Linked DNA regions of Schizosaccharomyces pombe. The gene in region 1 interacts genetically with each later gene. Each region holds a gene or a part of one and is shown in the gene's direction. Other genes may lie near its edges.

Region 1 (8,782 bases):
AAAGGGAAGTAATAGCTTTATTTATCAAACAATTTCCTCGAATTACACTCCAATTATTCGTTCTTTTTGTTTGGGTGTTAGTTCGATTGTCTACTTCTGTTTATCATTCTCGCTTTTCATGTTCGAAAAGTTTGTATTTTATGGTCGCTTTCTCTTTTTTCTTCTTTGTTGATTTACTTTTTTTTGTATGCTTTCCAATTCTACATTCCATGAACATCACGCAAAAAGCCACTTTCACAATAATGCCTGCCAAAGCAATGCGTCTTCGTCTGCCTGTAGAGCTTCTGAGGATCATTTAGTTTCTTCTTTTCCTAATGACTCTATAATTGACTTGCAGCCTTCGCGACCTGCCCCAGAACCACCAAAAAAGAAGTTTGGATACTATGCTCGTCGTCTGAGTGGTCACTTCCTTTCATTAATTCATGGGTCTGGTAATAGTACTCGTAGTCCTCCTTTCCATTTGCAAAACCAAAAATCGAATGGACAATCGGAAGTCTGGCATTCATCTGATGATTCAGGCAGTCCTAAACGACTAAATAGATCACGATCTTCAAAAGAAGACATGTATAGACGCAGGAGTTTACATGGACTACCATCGTTATCTCGTAGAAATTCTAAAAAATCTTCTACTCTTTCTCGATCAATATCTTTACACCTCAGAAGTGAATCAGCTCCTATTTCCCTCCCCATTCATCTATATAAGTCTTACTCCTATAATCATAGTCCGAGCAGTCTTCCAACTGTTCTTAATTCCCAAGCATTAAGTTCTCCCCCAGTCCCCACTACGCCTGATGAAGTTTCAACCAACAGACTTTCATCTTCTACTTCCTCAATGAATTGCCGAAATTTAGTACCCGATAATTTCAACATCTCGATTCGTCCTAATACTACTAACTATCGGTCGTCCATACAGGAAAACTCAAATGGTAACAGAGATAGCATTTCACCTTCCGCTTATGATGCTCCATTACTACACAACGTAGATACACAATCCATAGATGGGTTTGTGTCAGTAGCTTCGCATTTTAGCAGTGCTTCTACTGCTGAAAGTCTGGACGATGGGCATTCCGCAACGACAATACAACAAGGCGATGTTTCTTCGTATCCTTTATCTCGATCTGTCTCTACTCCAGTTCCTATGTCTCCAATTAGTATTAGTCCTGCCAAGCCTAGTCCACAAAGCCCAAAACTTTCACAATCTGCTGTCGGTCATCCAAGTAGTTCAATCCCTGCTGCAGCTATGCATAAAGTTTCATATTCTGATGATCTAATGCGTTTCGTTGCACGAGAAAAGTATTACCTACAGATAGTAGACTGCCTTTGCACACAAAAAGATCCATTGTTCTTCTATACCGACTTTACCAAAATATGCCAACAAGATACAGTTGGAACCTACGTTGCTCGTCAAACTCTGGATAAAGAAGTGGTTGTAATTAAACGGTTTGACATTTCAGCTGTAACTCATAGGAGGCTTTTACTCGAAGAATTGCAGCGATTATCTGGTCTCTCTCACAAAAATTTAATTCGTTATAACGAGAGTTTTTGGTATCTGAACAATATTTGGTCGGTCTTTGAATATAAAGACCCAAGCACCAAGTTGTCAGCTTTAATCCCCAAATATTTTTTTAGTGAGTTAAACATAGCTTCCATATGTTATGAGATAAGTTCTGGTCTTGCATTTCTTCATAATAGTGGGATAGCTCATCATAACCTTACTACCGAATGCATATATCTCACGAAAAGCAGTTGCCTTAAAATTGGCAATTATGCATTTTCTTCGCCATACATTGAAAGACAGACTAACCGTGGAGCAGTATCTCATGTTCCTGACTGGTTAATTGAAAAGAATTATAAAGAAGGATTTATGAAGGATGTTAAAAGCTTGGGCTTAGTTGCTCTTGAAATTTTTCAAGGTCAGCCAAACTTTTTTCGTAAATCTATTCAATCCATCCAACTAACTCCGAATGCAAATGTTTTAGTCAACCGAGTTCGTGGATTAATTAGCCAAGAATTTAAGGAATTCCTTTTACAAACCTTGCAAGCCGAAACATTACAAGGCCCTAATATCAATATGTTGTTGGAAACTTCTAGTTTTTTGGAAAAGCGACAAACGCTCAATTTTGAAATTTGGTAAGTTTTCAGTTTTGGAACACTTTTGTTTATATCCAATTCTAACCTTTTTTTTTAGCCTAAACAATCTTAATTTGCGAGAACGAAAGGCATCTCGCTACAGTTATCTATGATTACCAATGAAGAAAATCAAATTATTCGCCATAGAAAAAATATTGCTAATTTAATAACCCATTAAATTCCCTCCTTACTTTTAAAAGGAAAAGTTGTGTTTGCTTTGCTTGTCAGTAACTTGATACTATACGATGTTGCTTAACAACAAAAATTGGCTTTGTTAATTGAATGTCATATTATCATTTGTGAGTTCAATAATTTAATTATCATTAGTGAGAACAATACGAAAAAAGTTCTTATGTTAAATGGATGTAACAGACATAAATGCATAAACTGAGGAAGGTCGTAAAAAGTAATCATTTTATGGATGCTTTGGGCACAAATTTCTGCACTTCAATCGAATTCCTTTGTGCCTCTTTTTCACACCAGCGCTCAAAATTTACCAAAGACAACAACCTAGACTCATTTGATAATCCTTGAGACTTCAATATACTAACGTTGGCAAGGTTTGCAACACGCTCACGTTGGCTGTAATTCAAAACATTTTTCAAGGCAGGGCTGTAGGAAGAAGGAGGAAAACATAAAAGCGACATTGTCAACTCTAAAGAATTCAAAAACTTTTGATTTGAGGGTGCTAAAGGTGCTAAATTTTCATGTGCAAAGTTTAAACATCTTTCTACCGCTAAATCAGAGGTATCTTTCTCTTCAACAACTTCTCGTATCAATTCAAGCAATCTCAATCGTAATAATTCAAACAGAAGTTCTGAATTTGTGTCCAAAATCTATGTAGCTGTTAACTCGTAATCCTTACTTGCTTTCAGCATACCTCTGGCTCCAATTCATTCAGTTTGCATATTGCAGAGTTAATTGAACCTGATTTAATTAACTCGCAAATCTCTAAACGTTCTTTTACATATGGAGGAATATAATAATCCGTAATTTGAGCTTCTTCAGCAAATGTTTTTGCGGCTTCTTCGTCACCTTGAATCACCAAATAATCTAAAATCAGCGAATTCACGTCTCTGTACAAGCAATGATTAGTAACCATCAGTAACGTTCAGCGAAGCAACTATTTCAGTTACTTACGAATTATCGATATGGACACTTTTTGTCTGTTTCTCCCATTGTTCTGCGTCCGAACTTGAGCTACCGCTCATTGAAATATCTAAAGAAGAAGTGCCTACCATCTTTAAGCTCTCGTGAGAGAACGGTAGCAAATTCTATTCTATCCTAAACAAAGAGACCTTTTAAAGCTACCAAAAGTTATGACCGGATAAACGAGCCTCAATTCTTGATAAAAAGAAATTTAACGAAATTTATATAGGATAGAGATAGTAAACCCTTGAAAAAGGCAATTTGAAATTCGAATAGCCTGTGCAATGCTAAAGATTGAAGTTGCAAAGTAGCCATATCGCTACCTCAAAGATATGCCGTTTACCAAAATGCAACGCAAACTTCTAACTTAAAATATAATGTACTCTAACGGCGATTTTTGGTTTCACTACAACGCTGTATATAAACAAATTCAACGTTAGCTATGATTTTAATAGAAAAGGAATTTGTTTTTCTTAACGTTATGAACTACTTTTCGTATCAATAAATACAAATCTTTTTCTCATGTGTTACGTGCATTATTAATGGTCAAAACATTTTCTTATATTCTACTTAATTGAAGTATCTTTATAAACTCGTGCTCCCTAGTGTTTTTAAAGAGTTACGCATCTCAAAAACGTTTCATTGGTTTTTTATGTTTCATTTTTTAAAATAATATAATAGAATAAGGGCGCAACGAGTCTTAATACTGAAAAAAGTTGGCTTCTATCAAATATAAATGCTATGATGAGTGACGAAGATAATACCTATAGTGATGATGAAGAATGGTTAGATTTAGATCTTGGTCTCCCTAATAATGATATTAAAACTGCACCTATTTTAAATTCTTCGCTCCTTTCATCCGCCGTACATGGTGAAAGGTTGATTCAAGAACGACCAACTCATGATTTTGGAGACGTTGAGGCCACCGTTGATCGAACGGTTGAAAAACGTAGCCGCTTAAAGATCACTTCCGTTGATAGAAAGATTCGTCTTCAAATTCATCAGTTACACTTACTCTGTTTGACTTATCATCTTTGCACACGAAACACTTGGTGCGATGACAATAGACTAAATTATCTTGTGAAATATATTCCTCCTGGTATACGTGTCTCGCTTCATCCCTCTTCTCAAAAGTCACAAATGATTCGGAACAAAACTTTCCTACACGGGTTGGCTGGACTCGTCGAAGTTTGGAAACGGAAATATAAAATCACTACCAATGGATTAAGAAAACCGAATTATGGTTTACTACAAAACAATAGCCTCATCTCTGAATCTTTATCCCTTGAGGAGTTTTGTAAAAACTCAAAATTGCTTTCCGGTAGTAGAGATTATGGAACCCAGTTATTTGCATCTATTCTTCGTAATTTAAACGTTCCAACTAGACTAGTTTTTTCACTACAAGTTTTATCTTTTCGATTTAAAGGTGCCATAAATGAAGCAAGTAGTCATGAAATTGTTCCGGCATGGTCTCAGCAAATGGAAAATGATTCATCTAGCGATATCTCTGAAAGTGCACACATTACTTCTAGATTTCGCAAACGTAGGAAAATCATACAGCCTTCTTTTTCAAATCTTTCACATCTTGATGCCTCAGATATTGTTACAGAAGATACAAAACTAAAGGTAATTGATTCTCCCAAACCGGTTTTTTGGGTAGAGGCTTTTAATAAAGCTATGCAAAAATGGGTTTGTGTTGATCCATTTGGTGATGCTAGTGTCATTGGCAAGTACAGAAGGTTTGAACCGGCTTCCAGTGACCATCTAAATCAAATGACTTATGTATTTGCTATTGAGGCTAATGGGTATGTAAAAGATGTTACCCGAAAATATTGTTTACATTATTATAAAATATTAAAGAATAGAGTCGAGATTTTTCCCTTTGGAAAGGCTTGGATGAATAGAATATTTTCTAAAATTGGAAAACCAAGGGATTTTTATAATGACATGGATGCTATAGAGGATGCGGAATTACTAAGGCTTGAACAATCAGAAGGAATTCCGAGGAATATTCAAGATTTGAAAGATCACCCGCTTTTTGTTTTGGAGAGGCATTTAAAAAAGAACCAGGCTATTAAAACTGGTAAATCCTGTGGAAGAATCAACACAAAAAATGGGGTCGAATTAGTGTATCCACGCAAATATGTTAGCAACGGCTTCTCTGCTGAACATTGGTATCGTAAGGGTCGTATCATAAAGCCAGGAGCTCAGCCTTTAAAACATGTTAAGAATGGAGATAAAGTATTACCCTTGTATGATGAAGAAGCTACGCAGTTGTACACTCCGAAACCGGTTGTTGCGAACATTGTTCCTAAAAATGCATACGGAAACATCGATTTATATGTCCCTTCAATGTTGCCATATGGAGCATATCATTGTAGAAAACGTTGTGCTTTGGCAGCAGCTAAATTTTTAGAGATTGACTATGCAAAAGCAGTTGTTGGATTTGATTTTCAACGGAAGTACTCAAAGCCTAAATTAGAGGGAGTTGTTGTTTCTAAGCGTTATGAAGAGGCTATCGATCTCATTGCAGAGGAGATAGACCAGGAAGAAAAAGAAGCAGAGGCAAGGAATGTAAGAAAGACTTGTCTTTTATTATGGAAGCGACTGATTACAGGCCTTCGGATTCGTCAGCGTGTATTCGAAGAATACGGTTAATTGATAAATTCGATTTTCCTAATCTACGAGCTCAATGATGGAATCATTTTACAAAGTACCTGGCTACACATTCTTAGTGTTATCTACATCAAGGTTGTTATTTATTTTTTATTGTAATACGAAGTTTGAATTGTTATCATATATTTCTTTGTATATATATATTAGTACACAAATAAAGATGAGCGATCATGACTTTAAAATTCTATAGAATTCAGGGGTCTTTAATAAGTACCTTTATATTGACATAAATTAAAATAAAAGATTGATATTATCCAAAGAACAATGCTTGCATTTTCTAATTACCATCAAAATTCAGATTGCTCGTCAAACTCCATGAAAGATTTAGAATCAAGCATGCTGCAATTGAAATCCTTCGTTGTAGAGTAAGCCAAGCGAGGCAACAAACCTGCCAGCCATGATTTTTTGTAACTCCATTGAGTGGCATTTTCGGTGTCCCAGTTCCAATAAAACCAGCCCCATGTTTTGTCAAATGTTTCAATTTGTGAAGTAGCTAAAGCATATAGAAACTTTCGATAAGAATCCTCGTAATTTTCGGGGTCCTGATTTGCGAAGTCGCAACGACAACCAACTTTTTCAGAACAACTGGCAACACCTCCATTAGGAGTAAAAGTGCCGTCCCATCGAGCACCCTCTCCAACATTATTTAAAAACTTAGCACAATCTGTATCCGCAAGGCTCCACTCTCCTATAATCGTCGGTAATTTGGCCTTTAACTTCATTTCTTCGTTCCATGACTTACATATCACATTAAGTTTATCTTTTGGCCTCAAACCAATTAAGAAATCATTAAAAATGATATACCTATGTACATCGATAAGTATGTTTGGGAAGTGAAATGGATCAAAATGATCTTCCCAATTACCTGGACCACGAAATCCATCACTAAGTGATATTAGACCTGTAAAATTAGATTGGCGAATTACCGCATAGGCTTGCTTATGCCAATCAGTAATTTTGTGCTCATCAAGAACGAAGAAATTTGGTTCGTTAAGTGCACCGTATATTGTAACGACATTTCTATACCGTTTCTGAGAGAAAAAAGAAGCAAGTCTTTCATGAATTTTTAGTGTGAATTGAGAATTTTCCTCGCCTTTCACTGTGCCATCCAACCACTCCATTTGATTCAAATATCCACCGTGATTCCAAGAGTTTTGGTTACCAGGTGCGGCGTGTAAATCAAGATTAACTCTTAATCCTTGCTCACGAGCCCATTCGATAGATCTAAGTAGATATCTCCACCCAATACCCGAGACATTAGTTATTTCATTACTGTAAAGAATCCAATATGGAAAGGTAATCCGAACATGATCCAAACCTGCTTCCCTAATTTCGTAAAATGTTTGTTTCGTGACAAATGTATTGTAATGGTTCTCAATAACGCTGGTGGCATTTTCCCCCAAATATGCGTGTAGACTCAATTCATCTTTTACTAAGTATGCAGTTTCATTTTTCACTTGGAAAAAAGATGGAGTAATAAATGGTTCCATTGAAAGCCATCCACCTAGATTTACACCTCTAATGGGAAGTCGACCGTACGGAAAAGGCTCGTTCAAAGGAGGGACATTAGGATTTGCCTGAACGGAATCATCATATTTATCAAATATTCCCATTGTATATAATCCAGCGAACGTTTCGTTCGTAAAACTTGTATTGAAATCAGATGTATCAAGCCAAGTATTGGTGTCCAAAAGCGAGTTTTTAGCCCATTCAGGTACTTGAGTGGAATTAAATATCTCATCAATTATATTTACGCCTAAATTAGTGGTTTCCATATTTGTGTCTTTAATTTTTCGATCTGACTGAGCGTGAGGAATAATAACTAAAAATATAAGAGGAAGAATAATTGACAGGAAAACACATAGGGAAACAAAAAATGTAAGGAGGATAGTAATAAGAAGAGCCTTCTTGTCAATTTCTCTACACCTTTTAGATGTAAAGTCATCAACACCGAGTGATTTAGAGTCACAAGATGACTCAGCTTCTAAAAGATTGCTCATATTTTATCAATAAAAAGAAAGAAAGATATTTTGATCCAATTATTAAAAGAAGGAACTACCGGGCCCTTGACAAGAAAAGAAACAAAGATAATGATACAACTCTTCAAAGGGAGGAAAGAAAGGAAGAACGTGCTTCAAACAAAAAATATGAACATGTAGTCATCAAACAGTATTTAAATTGCAAAACTATTACAATAATACCGATCCATCATTGTGACGTTAGCGGTGGAACATGCATATAAGTTAGCAGTTAACAAGTCATAAACATAATAAAAAGTTAATAACAATCTAAAAATATAAGTAAATTTCCAATAATTAAACGTAAAAGTGTTAAGTGCTTTCTGAAAGTTTTTGACGATATTCGTCGATCATTTTATCAACCCGACTTTTTTCTTGAATAATTTTTTCCTCTTTCAATCTCTTAGTACTTTGAAAAGAAGTCACTTCCTCCGTAAATGTTTCATGCAAAGCTTCAATCTCCTCACGGCTTTCCTCATATGACTTGGAAACTTCTTCCAGATCTTTACAGGCTTTAAGAAATTTCTCGTAAAGTGCCTCATAAATCGCCAAAGATACCAAGTTATCATTGGGATTTTGCAATGGTAAATCAGTTTGATAACCAATATTAGTTGTTTGAACTTCAGGTACGGGTATGGGAGGAAGTTTATGCTGCTTTAAAGCACGCGGAATCGGAGCTTGTAGATCGTGATCTTTCATTACATTTAGTTCAGAATTAAGGTTGAGTGTAGAGGAAGAATACCCATTATGTGCGGAGTGAAAGGCTTCAGCTTGAAGTGGTTGCAAATCATTGGAGTTAGGTGATTGAT
Region 2 (8,782 bases), on another chromosome or scaffold:
ACTAAGGAGCCACTTGGACAAGAATGTAAAATTTGCTCAAAACCTTGTACAATCTTTCGGTGGATAAAAGAACGCGGCCAAAAGCCTGGAAAAACTCAAATTTGTGTTGGTTGCGCCAGATATAAGAACTGCTGTCAGAGTTGCATGCTTGATTTGCAATTTGGTTTACCGGTAAGTTCAATATTTCATTCAACTATAATAGTCAGCTAACGTTCCATGAAGATTGCCCTGAGGGATGCAGCCCTAAAACTGGTCGAAAGCGGTCCCACTAACGATATTAATCGCGAATTCTTTGCTCAAAATCAACAACGCCTGTTAAGTAATGGCGAAACGGCCTACGATAGCCAGGAAGCAAGCGCCGCTGCAAGAAATCTTGTTAAAAAGGTAGAAAAACGAGAATTACATTCAAGACCTCCTAAGCGAAAATTAGATGATGTTGAGTCTAAGCAAATATTAAAGGAGGCTCGAGCATCTGATGCATCTTTAAATGCAGAACGCCCATTATTTCCGGTTAAAAAAATTATTAATGGGAATGTTTCCTTGTCTATTAATATGGAACCTCCTAAAGATAAAAAAATCGTAAGTGCGACTTAAAAGTAATTTAAGCTTGATGGCGCATTGTATTGTGCTAACATTTAGGCATCCCTTTTCCTTATTGGCGTCGAAGATGAACTAGCTGACTATAAAATTCGTAAACATTTTGAACAATATGGGCCTCTTAAATCAGTTGTGTGTTCTCATCGAGCAAAATGCGCATTCGTAAACTTTAAAACTCGTTCTAGTGCTGAGATTGCGGCGGCGGCATCTCCCGATGGAAATGTTGTTATAGAGGGGTTTCGACTGAAAGTTCAATGGGGAAAACCTCGTTCTCTTGGAGGACCTGAGGGTGAAGTACGAAACGCAAAGTTGGCAGACCTTGTGATGCGAGGTTCATCCCATGGAAATAAAACCTCCCAAAAATCTACGATTAAAAACATTGAAAATGAAGATCATGAAAATACTAAAAGCCCTGCAGTTGCTATACCCATTGACCCCAATCAACCCCGTTACCGATCTCAAATTCCGCGGTGAAGTCAGTTGGTCATTTAAAACCTTTGTAGTAGCTATTAACTTATTTTCTCTAATACTGACAAGCTTTATTCTGTATTTTCTTGTTTATTTGTCTTTGCACCTTTTCTGTCGTCTCTCGGTCATTCTCCTTAAATAATCAAATATCTGCTGCTTTACCTTACTCAGCAAAACACTTTGGGTTTTGCATATTTTTTACATTATAAAGCATCAATTTATTTTTTCTGAATGGATAGTATTGAAAAAACTCCTGACGGAGAAGAAGAGGAAAAAGATGTATGGGACACTGCTCTTGAAAAAGGTGGATGTGTAGAAGAGCACCTTCGACTGAATGATTGCTATTGGGATACTCATGATTGGAGGAAATGTACAGAACAGGTAATTATATGTCTTTAAAAAATTTAGCTAATTCTGATATTTTTAGATGGAAGAATTCAGGAAATGTTGGGAAAAGAGACATGGTCCTTTGCCAAGTATCTCAGACAAAAAAAATAAAAATTTATCTTAATGAGTTTCTATATCATGTGATTTTGTGAAAAAAATAATTATTCTGTTTACGGCAGTTTTAGTACGCTGTTATTAGGATGAATTCTTTTTATTGAAAAAGATATAATGCATGCGGAACTAATTAATTGGATTCTTCAAATACGAAGACAGTGTTTCAAATCATTAACTCATTTGATATAATTTTTTTGAATATTTTCTGCAATTGCAGAGTTTTCAGCTATTTATTTTACGAAGTCTCAGTTGTCATAGTGCATCAATTTTTCTGTGTTATGTGGTATGGTAAAGCAAGTTATGACTTAGTATTGAATTGATAGGATGGAGTTTAAATACGCAAAAACATATTTTACAATTCAACGTTGTTGTCAAATTGTATAAGTCTGTTTCAAATCTGATCCATCGATATTGGAAAAGTTCTGTACTTATAACCCGCTTTTATTGTTGCATTTGTTGAAAAATAAAAAATTTGACTTTAGAATGTTTTCATATTGAACATGTGAACGTATTCAACTGTCAAAAAATGTGTGCAGTTTAGTAAATAAGCGTAATTTACCCATCAATAAACAATGAAATTCATCTTTACAGTAGCTCTACTAAAAGGATGTAATTTTATTTTATATAAGCGCATACAAAAACACGCTAGATCAAAACATTAACTATATATACATTTTCTGACTCAATCATAACTAAGCACTTATCACATATGTGTAATTGATTTAATGATTATAATACAATTTCTCCATCCTCTCCAGTTTTTGGCCTTTTAGGGCTTGAATGAAGGTCAGAAGGTTCATCTTCCTCATCCCGTCCTCGCTTTTTAGTAATCTCTGACTGCTTTTGACTATTTTCAGAAGATTTTGGACTAGATGTTACTTCCAATATAGTTTCAGCAACATTATTCTCTTGCTTTTCAGATATTTTAGAATTTATGGTGGAAGTAATTTCTTCTGTGACCTCAAAGTGATCATCATTTTGTTTTAGTTTTTCAATATTTTCGGGAGATTTCACATGTGAAGATGGGTCCTTTGAAGCTTCAGATGTATTATCATCTTCTGATTTGAGAACCTTATTAACCTGAACCAAAGATTCACCGTTTACTTCACTGTCCACACCCTCAGTTGGGGGTTTAGGTGATACCTTTGGCAAGTCATTTTTATGTTTTCCTTCTTCAACCTCAACGCTTTCTTTTTCCTCTTCATTTTGGACAATATCACCTTCAGCATCTGTTTGCATAGGACTTGCAAAGTTTTGAGAATTGTGCTTGACATTCTCCCTCTTTTTCATTTCCTCTAATAACTCTTCTCCTTCTATAATATGAATATCAAAAGCTGGAGGAATAGAGGGTGTAATTTTCGATGTAGTCGGTTTGCCCTCAATGGAATTACAAAGCAATTCAACATCACCTAGTCCGGTATCCGAAAAGTTTTGAAGATGGCTATTAATTGCTGAACGAAAGGCACGCCATGTCTTCGTTGCCAAGGACTGTTCATGGAAATGCTTGTCATCATCTCTAACTGCCTCTTCTATTTCAAACTTGTCTGCTTTAACGCCAGATAAAAAGCTCTCAGGTGATGGAATCCGGTACCTTTCCTCCTTTTTGAGATCATCAAGGGTATTTTCTCCAGCCTGCTCCCAGAGCCTCGACAAAGCAGCATTTCCCATAGCAAATCTTAATTTCACTGGGGTGTTTGTAAGCTTTTTTAAGCCTTCGACAGCTTCATCAATAGCCGCTTTATCTACTAGGGGTTTTTCAAGGGAAGGGCAGCCAAGCCCTTTCCATAATTTCCAATTACCCTCAATATGTATAATTTCTTTAATGGTTCTTTGCACAGAACCACACCGGGCAGTATGTAAGAAACTATATGCTTCTTTGGATAATTCATTTAACTTTGAGGTCTACATATTAGCAATCAATAAAATCAGTTTTTTTCGAGTCTAAAAAAGAACATACATCTTCGTCAGACAAAATAACAATGGGAATTACCGCCTTATTTGTCCATTTTTCAAGAGTTCTCCTTTCAATTCGTTCTTTAGAATGGTCAAGCAAAAAGTCGAAAATAATAATTAATTGTAAAATAGCCTGTAACCGGAAATCTTCATCTGAAAGTTGGTATTCAAAAAGCGACCGAGAATATATATATTTAGAAGGAAATCCTTTATCCAAAGTTATATATTTTTCAGAAAGTAATGAGCTAGAGTTTGGATCAATTGTAGGGTTTGACTTCCCATTGAAGAACGTATTTTGTAATATAGATTCGAATGCCTGTATTGCAGAACCAGCTGCATCTATAAACTTAGGTAAGGTATCACTTGCTAGTAATTTAGGAGGGTTGGAGCACATACACTGCAAATCCCAATAAGCAGTAAATAAGGTATTAAGTTTTTTGTGATATGAGAGGTCTGTTCGGTCCGAAATGGGTGTGGATGGTGGTGACAGTTCTACCTTCCCAAAAGAATGAACAGTATTATAATCTCCACGTAAATTGGCTCCACTCCGTTCTTCAGGGGGGAAAGCCTTACTTAGCAGAATATCGATCCGCCCACAAAAAGATGAATTTTCTTGCCGAGAAAGACGCCGGAGTAATTCATTTGATATCCGAAGCAAAACGGGTCCTCTTCCACGATTGCTGACAATACCTTTCATCAAGCTAGGTCTGGTTTCAAAATATTCATATAATTTGGCGCATTCGTTGACGGTGTGAATGTCCATCAGCTCTTCCAAGATTAGAAAAGGCAACAGGTGATCACAGAAGCTTTCGTTAATTTCGTTCCCTATTACTAAGAGATCCAAAATCGCAAATAAACATTTTAATCGCTCCTCCAATCCAATCTCACTTTTGCGCTACACGAAAATAACAATTAGTAACTTAAGGAAAACTTCATTATGGAAAAAGCACATACTGCTGTTTCATAACAGCAAAATCTTATTGCCGTTTCAAACTCAGTTGAGTTATGAAAACTCTCAACAATCGAAGGCCATAATTCTTTGATGAATAATTCATATTCAGAACAAAGTGGACTCTTATCCAGTTCTTTTGCCTTTTCTAATGGATATGTATTATAAAAAGCTTCAATTAAACCCTTTTGCACCTCCATTACTTTAAAAGTCTGCGAATATACAATCCGCGCGCAGAAACGTGAGTTTATCTAGCATTGACAATGTCATTTAGAAATAAGGATTTATTCGTTATTGCTTTGTGTGGTTCATTGCTTCTCGCTATAACAGGAGCAGCATGAAGGAATATGTAATTTTGCCCTTAACCAAACAACAAAGTATTTTCTTAAATTTGCAGTGAGTCTGAAAATGAGACTTTATTTAAGAAATTGATAGGATATGAGTGTCAATGAAGATCTATCCCATTTAGGGGTTTTTTCGGTTGACCAAGAGAATTTGGAACGCGATGTTACGAATACTGCTAGTGAGTACATTGCACATGAAAGTCGAGAGATCGAAAAGAAGAGACTTCAAAAAGTCAGGAAAGAAATATCTTCTGTAAAAGAAAAAATACGTCGCCTTGATGAGCGTATAGACAGTCGACTTACAAAAATAAGTGTCAAGGAGAACTTCCGCAAACAATTATCTAAATTCCGAGACACTCTTCAAAGTTTACAATCAGACGAAAATGATATTAAGAGAAGACTTAATAACGAAGATTCGGCAAATGCCCCTGGTATAGGTGCATTTTCGACTGAAGAATTGGAAAGACAAGAGCTCATCCGTACTGGTAAGGTTACACCGTTTCGAAATCTCTCTGGACTACAAAAAGAAGTTGATTTTGATGATGAATCTAGCATTCGTGAGGCTGTTATAAAGTCTGAAGGAACATACTATGAAACGGCACCTCATTTGAGTTCGGAGCCGTCAAATATTGATCATGGGATTATTCCAAGAGACGAAAAAGATGAGTACGTAACTGTGGATGCTGTTACGGAGAAAGTAGTAACTGCCGCTATAGATGATGGAGATGATTTGGTATATCGACAAAGGCTTAATGCTTGGTGTGCGAATCGTAAGGAATTACGAGATCAGGCCTCAGCATCTGAAAACAATAAAGATAGAGGAGAGTTTGAAGGTAAAGATGAGTGGTTACTACCTCATCCTTCCAAAAAAGGACAGACTTTTGAGGGTGGATTTACCATCCCAGGTGATATTCGCCCACATCTTTTCCGTTATCAAGTCACTTGCGTACAATGGTTATGGGAACTCTATTGTCAAGAGGCCGGAGGAATCATTGGTGATGAAATGGGACTAGGAAAAACTATTCAAATAGTATCTTTCCTTTCGTCTTTGCATCACTCTGGCAAATTTCAAAAGCCTGCACTTATCGTTTGTCCAGCGACTTTAATGAAGCAGTGGGTTAATGAGTTTCATACATGGTGGGCTCCATTACGTGTTGTTGTTCTTCATGCTACTGGCAGCGGACAGCGTGCTTCACGCGAAAAGAGACAGTATGAATCTGACGCTTCTGAAAGTGAAGCGGAAGAAAGCAAAACCTCCATAAAATTAAGAGGTGCTTCAAGTTCATTCCACAGATACGCTAAGAACTTAGTTGAAAGTGTCTTCACTAGAGGCCACATTTTAATTACAACATATGCTGGTTTAAGGATATATGGTGATTTGATTTTACCACGGGAATGGGGTTATTGTGTTTTGGATGAAGGGCACAAAATACGAAACCCAGATTCTGAAATATCTATTTCGTGTAAGCAAATCCGTACTGTGAATAGGATTATCCTCTCAGGGACTCCGATCCAGAACAACCTTACCGAGCTTTGGAATTTATTTGATTTTGTATTTCCTGGAAGATTGGGTACATTACCGGTATTTCAAAATCAATTTGCCTTACCTATTAATATTGGTGGTTATGCCAATGCTTCAAATGTTCAAGTGCAAACCGCTTATAAATGCGCCTGCATGCTTCGAGATTTAATTTCTCCTTATTTACTTAGAAGAATGAAGCTTGACGTTGCTGCAGATTTACCTAAGAAGTCCGAACAAGTATTGTTCTGTAAGCTGACTCCTTTACAAAGGAAAGCTTACCAAGATTTTTTGCAAGGCTCTGATATGCAAAAGATCTTGAACGGAAAGCGTCAAATGCTTTATGGAATTGATATACTACGAAAAATTTGTAATCATCCAGATCTTGTAACTCGAGAGTACTTGTTACATAAAGAAGATTACAACTATGGTGATCCTGAAAAGTCTGGCAAACTGAAGGTTATTAGAGCATTACTAACTTTGTGGAAAAAACAAGGACATAGAACTCTTCTATTTTCTCAGACTCGCCAAATGCTCGACATACTGGAAATAGGATTAAAGGATTTGCCGGATGTTCATTACTGTCGCATGGATGGTAGCACATCTATTGCTTTAAGACAAGATTTGGTGGACAACTTTAATAAAAATGAGTATTTTGATGTGTTTCTTCTAACTACTCGTGTTGGTGGATTAGGAGTCAATTTGACTGGTGCTGACAGGGTAATTCTTTTTGATCCTGATTGGAATCCCTCAACGGATGCTCAAGCACGTGAACGTGCTTGGAGACTGGGCCAAAAGAAAGATGTAGTAGTTTATCGGTTGATGACTGCTGGAACTATTGAAGAAAAAATTTATCATCGTCAAATCTTTAAGCAGTTTCTGACTAACAAAATTTTGAAAGATCCAAAACAAAGAAGGTTTTTTAAAATGACGGACTTGCACGATTTGTTTACGTTAGGCGATAACAAGACTGAGGGCACTGAGACAGGCAGCATGTTTTTGGGATCTGAACGAGTACTTCGAAAGGATAATTCCTCAAGAAATGGCAATGAAGCTGAAGATATTCCAGCTCGTGACCGAAAAAAGCACAAAATTCACGACAAAGGTAAAAAAGTTAACAGCTCCAAAGTGTTTGAAAAAATGGGGATTGCATCGATGGAAAAGTATAAACCACCGCAAGAGTCAAATGTTACTAAGACAAACTCTGATTCGACTTTAGGGGATGATTCCGTCCTTGATGATATTTTTGCTAGTGCTGGTATTCAGAGTACTTTAAAGCACGACGATATCATGGAAGCCTCCCAGACTGAAAGCATATTGGTTGAAAAAGAAGCGACGCGTGTTGCTAATGAAGCTCTGCGTGCAGTTTCATCTTTTCGGCGACCTCCTCGTCAACTTATACCTCCGCAGCAATCTACTAATGTTCCTGGTACTTCTAAACCATCAGGTCCGATTACTTCAAGCACTCTTCTTGCCCGACTAAAACAGAGACGATGAATTAATTAGAAGAAGTTCGCCTTAGAGTAAGCTGTATCCATTAAAATTTCGGACCCAATCTTGTACCCATTTATTTATTTATTATTATTTCCCTTTATTTTGTACATTAAGTTTTTCATGATTTAAGCTTTATTTATGGATTTATTGATAGACACGCGATCATTTCATTTTTTGAATGGGAATTATCCTTATTACTAGGTGGGTTTACTTTGCTTGAAAAGTATTGGAAATGTCAATTCCATGTTGAGGATAGGGCTGTCGGAATTACTTTGATCATTTTTCCCTTTTGTTAAAGTACTTGGTTAAAGTGTGTTAATGTTATTGTAAGCAAGCACTTGACAAATTCGCTTTACCTGAGACCTAAAATTAGCGTTAATAACTTTCTAGTTGGCTGAGAAAAGTATGAACACTCAAAGCGGCTTAGTTAGTGGTATGTGCAACCCGTGCAACCCTTTTTGTAGCTATAAATTACTACGTTCTTTTGTCAACGTTATTAGAATGCTAGAGTCATGTTTGTTGACAGTGTCAGAAAAGACCTTTTAATTAGAAAACTAGTGGTTCAAAAATTTTGATGTCTTGGTGCTTATTGGCGAACTTATTACTAGTACTTTTTCATTTTATATAAATTAATATTTGTATATAAGCAATGCAACCGCATCTAACCATTTTTACACACATATTTGGTTTTACCAAAAACTTGACTCGTTAATTAATTTTGGGAGCTGCAACCAACGCTGTACTTTCGTAAGATTACTTGAAATTCGAAGTCTATGTAGTTCGCTGAAACAAAATAAGACTCTGCTTCAAACAATGTTCTCTGTTGGTAAAAAAATCTCTTTTATTTTGCCTATTAAGGGCGTATTGCAAAAATTAAAGGATAATGCTCAAAAAACCGTTCTCTTGGATGCTACTTGGTACTTGCCAACAGACACTAAAAACGGAAAGAAGGAGTAT
Region 3 (3,294 bases), on another chromosome or scaffold:
AATTTGACATTCAACGTAACTTTCTGTGTCCCTTAACTGCATAGTCATACTGAACTGGCCATGCAACATTTTCACCCAACTGGTTCGCGCTGTCTAGCACCAACGACGGGTTCCTTAAGAACTCCCTTGCGACAAAAGTAACATCAGCTTTTCCACTTTCTAGGATTTCATTCGCCGTAAGACCATCCCTGATCATTCCGACAGCGCCAAGTAGTATTCCATTCACTTGATCCTTAATCTTTTCCGCAAAAGGAACTTGATAGCAATCCTTCACCTCAATTCTTTGATCCTTGTGATTACCACCAGAGCTAACATCTATCAAGTCAACACCACCATCGCGAAGCCTCGCTGCTAATGCAACTGTATCTTCTATCTCCCATCCTTGTCCTTTGGGCAACCAATCTGTAGCCGTTACTCTATAAAACAAGGGCATACTATCTGGAATTGCTTTACGAACAGAATGGACAACTTCCATAGGAAACAAAATACGTTTCTCAAATGTCCCACCATACTTGTCATTGCGGTCATTAGTGGCAGGACTAACTGTTGACGATATAAGATAACCATGAGCGCCATGAATTTCAATTACATCAAAACCTATTTCAACTGCACGCTTCGCAGCAACAACAAACTTATCCACTAATTCATCATATTGCTTTTCAGTTAACTTATGAGGTTGAGCGTGGTTTTCGTCCCACCTGTCTTCATTTGGTCCATAAACATCATTCTCCCACCCACCTTGAGCTTCAGTCGCAACTGTGTATCCTCGATAAGGAGCAGTGGTGCTAGCCTTTCTACCAGCATGCGCCAATTGAATCCCAATTTTTTGATTTTGCGAATGAGCAAATTCAACAATTCTTCGTAACGGCTTCATTTGCGACTCCATCCATAATCCTGAATCATTAGGTGAAATTCGTCCCTCTGGGGAAACCGCTGTCGCTTCTACCATTACAAGGCCAGGCCCACGCATTCCCATCGCTCCAAGATGTACTAGGTGAAAATCTGTCAAATGCCCTTCTTGGTCAGCGGAATAAGTGCACATCGGCGAAACAAACATTCTGTTATGGAACTCCACTCCTCTAATTTTAAGAGGAGTAAATAATTTTGTTTGCGGTACACCTATCGCCGCTCCAGCTGGTATTTTTTGCGCAGGTGTAAAATAACCAACATTTTCGGCTCCTTCATTAACAATAGTCATTTTTAAAATTTTTCAATTCAAATTAATATATTGGCCAGTCGTTGGGACATATTTATACACAAAGCATAATGTTATTCCTTACTAAGCTAACCGCAATATTTCCGTGCAACAAACCATGATCATATTACATAATATCTTTTCATCATTCTATTCGATAGCACGGCAACATTGCAAATTACAGAAAATTTAACAATGAGGTTTCAAATAGAAAGCTGTCGAAGTAAAAGTATCATTTGTTTCTTTAATCTACCTCAACAAAGAAAAGAACTATAATAGGAAACCTGTTAAAGATTACGAATGCTTCAATATAGCGCTTTTTGAATTCCAACTAAAAAATATTACAAAAATCAAATGATTAACAAGCTGTCATAATCAAAATACTAATAATGTTGAAATATCCATTGCTAAGTTAAATTGCTCAAACATTACGAGAATCGATTTATTGCATACATTAGTAAATAGTCATTCTAAAAAGCAGCAGCAATTCTTCATACTGTATATGTGTATTATTGCAATTTTTTTTTGAAATATATACAAACTTACCAATTGCCAAAATACTTAACCCTTATTTCTAAAATTAAACTATAATAATATTCATAACAAGCATATTAAACACCATCGACTCACAATATTGCTAGTTAAATAAGATTAACTATTCTTTTTTTAATCAACAAAAATATACCAAGACCTATTTAAAATCTAAAACTGGCTTAAGCATATCAAAGATGCAAAGCAATCTATAAGTTACGTAATAAGTATAAAGGCAAAAAACTTCAGAAGCGTGAAAAACACATCCCATTCCAAGCGCATACACTCAAAAGTAATACAAAAATGTCAAAAGATTCGGACTACAAAAGGGCTGAAAAGCATTTATCTTCAATTGATAACAAATGGTCGTCTCTTGTCAAAAAAGTTGGACCTTGTACACTTACTCCACATCCAGAGCACGCACCCTACGAAGGAATTATTCGAGCTATAACATCACAGAAGCTTTCAGACGCTGCCACAAATTCAATTATCAATAAATTTTGTACACAGTGCTCAGACAATGACGAGTTTCCTACTCCTAAGCAAATTATGGAAACAGACGTTGAAACTTTGCATGAATGTGGCTTTTCAAAATTAAAGTCTCAAGAGATACACATTGTTGCAGAGGCTGCATTAAACAAGCAAATACCTTCTAAATCGGAAATTGAGAAGATGTCGGAAGAAGAACTCATGGAGTCACTAAGTAAGATAAAAGGAGTAAAACGATGGACCATAGAAATGTACTCTATCTTTACACTCGGACGACTGGACATAATGCCTGCGGATGACTCTACTCTGAAGAATGAAGCAAAAGAATTCTTTGGATTATCTAGCAAACCGCAAACTGAAGAAGTTGAAAAACTAACTAAACCTTGTAAACCATACAGAACAATAGCTGCTTGGTATTTATGGCAAATTCCGAAACTCCATCGTAAAGGCCAGTAAAAGTCGTTCAAATATCTAATGGTTCCCGCTTTTGTTTATGAACATATAATAAGCCATACTTTATCTAGTACACATGCCAAACATAAAGTTACTGATTAATTTTTCTAATCTTTCTTAATATTTATCACTAACTAATACAAATCAATTAGTAGATGTGTATACGTACGATCGAAAACCCGCAATTTCATTGTAAACATAGCACCGGTCTAGTTACCGCGAACAACAAGAGCTGCGTTGACTGCTTTTTTTTTGCTATATAATCCAGATGCAGATTATTTTAAAATACTAATCCAAATATTTTGCCTGCCAGCACTCCATAATTTAGTTTACGAGTGGTGGTATACTGTAATACTTGGTATACAAAGAGTCGACTCCACCCTGGATTAACTTTTCCTTATGTATATTCAGGACTAAATCAACGACTGACAAACAACCCATTAATCGATATAGAATTTTTAACGAATAGTAAAGGATAGAATTAATTTTGAAAAGAACGTTTATCTACAATCTAAATATGTAATATATAATAACCAACAATCAATTAAGTACAAACAATTTGACTAAACTTATAATCATATTCATTAATACATATGTAAAATCATCTACTTGAAAAGCTTTTGTAA

The links.
Region 2: mutations in rhp41 (region 1) and rhp26 are lethal when combined (synthetic lethality), as found in Schizosaccharomyces pombe (2 studies listed by BioGRID, with this or other methods).
Region 3: mutations in rhp41 (region 1) and mag2 are lethal when combined (synthetic lethality), as found in Schizosaccharomyces pombe (one study listed by BioGRID).

Annotation. Positions count from the first base shown.
Region 1 is NC_003424.3:4,591,028-4,599,809, reverse strand, and holds rhp41 (DNA repair protein Rhp41), read left to right. Parts: upstream 1-3,714; 5' UTR 3,715-4,020; coding exon 4,021-5,937; 3' UTR 5,938-6,210; downstream 6,211-8,782. Other genes in the region: tea5 (serine/threonine protein kinase Ppk2), read left to right, coding at 188-2,130, 2,189-2,243; gid8 (ubiquitin ligase complex subunit protein), read right to left, coding at 2,541-2,966, 3,011-3,206, 3,271-3,371; glucan glucosidase exg2, read right to left, coding at 6,243-7,955; protein Nod1, read right to left, coding at 8,286-8,782. UniProt on the Schizosaccharomyces pombe protein: Has a role in the nucleotide excision repair (NER) pathway. Acts in both transcription-coupled repair (TCR) which removes damage from the transcribed strand of active genes and in global genome repair (GGR) which removes damage in untranscribed DNA.
Region 2 is NC_003421.2:1,178,682-1,187,463, reverse strand, and holds rhp26 (SNF2 family helicase Rhp26 ), read left to right. Parts: upstream 1-4,825; 5' UTR 4,826-4,906; coding exon 4,907-7,828; 3' UTR 7,829-8,532; downstream 8,533-8,782. Other genes in the region: Prp19 complex subunit, RNA-binding Cwf5, read left to right, coding at 1-171, 223-579, 640-1,071; coa4 (respiratory chain complex assembly protein), read left to right, coding at 1,297-1,446, 1,493-1,576; THO complex subunit Tho1, read right to left, coding at 2,296-3,468, 3,524-4,414, 4,474-4,668; thiosulfate sulfurtransferase Tum1, read left to right, coding at 8,639-8,782. UniProt on the Schizosaccharomyces pombe protein: Involved in transcription-coupled repair (TCR).
Region 3 is NC_003423.3:2,118,257-2,121,550, forward strand, and holds mag2 (DNA-3-methyladenine glycosylase Mag2), read left to right. Parts: upstream 1-2,000; 5' UTR 2,001-2,029; coding exon 2,030-2,671; 3' UTR 2,672-2,794; downstream 2,795-3,294. Other genes in the region: SPOM_SPBC23G7.10C (NADH-dependent flavin oxidoreductase), read right to left, coding at 11-1,198; proteasome regulatory subunit Rpt6, read right to left, coding at 3,274-3,294. UniProt on the Schizosaccharomyces pombe protein: Alkylbase DNA glycosidase-like protein that shows no DNA glycosylase activity for alkylated bases.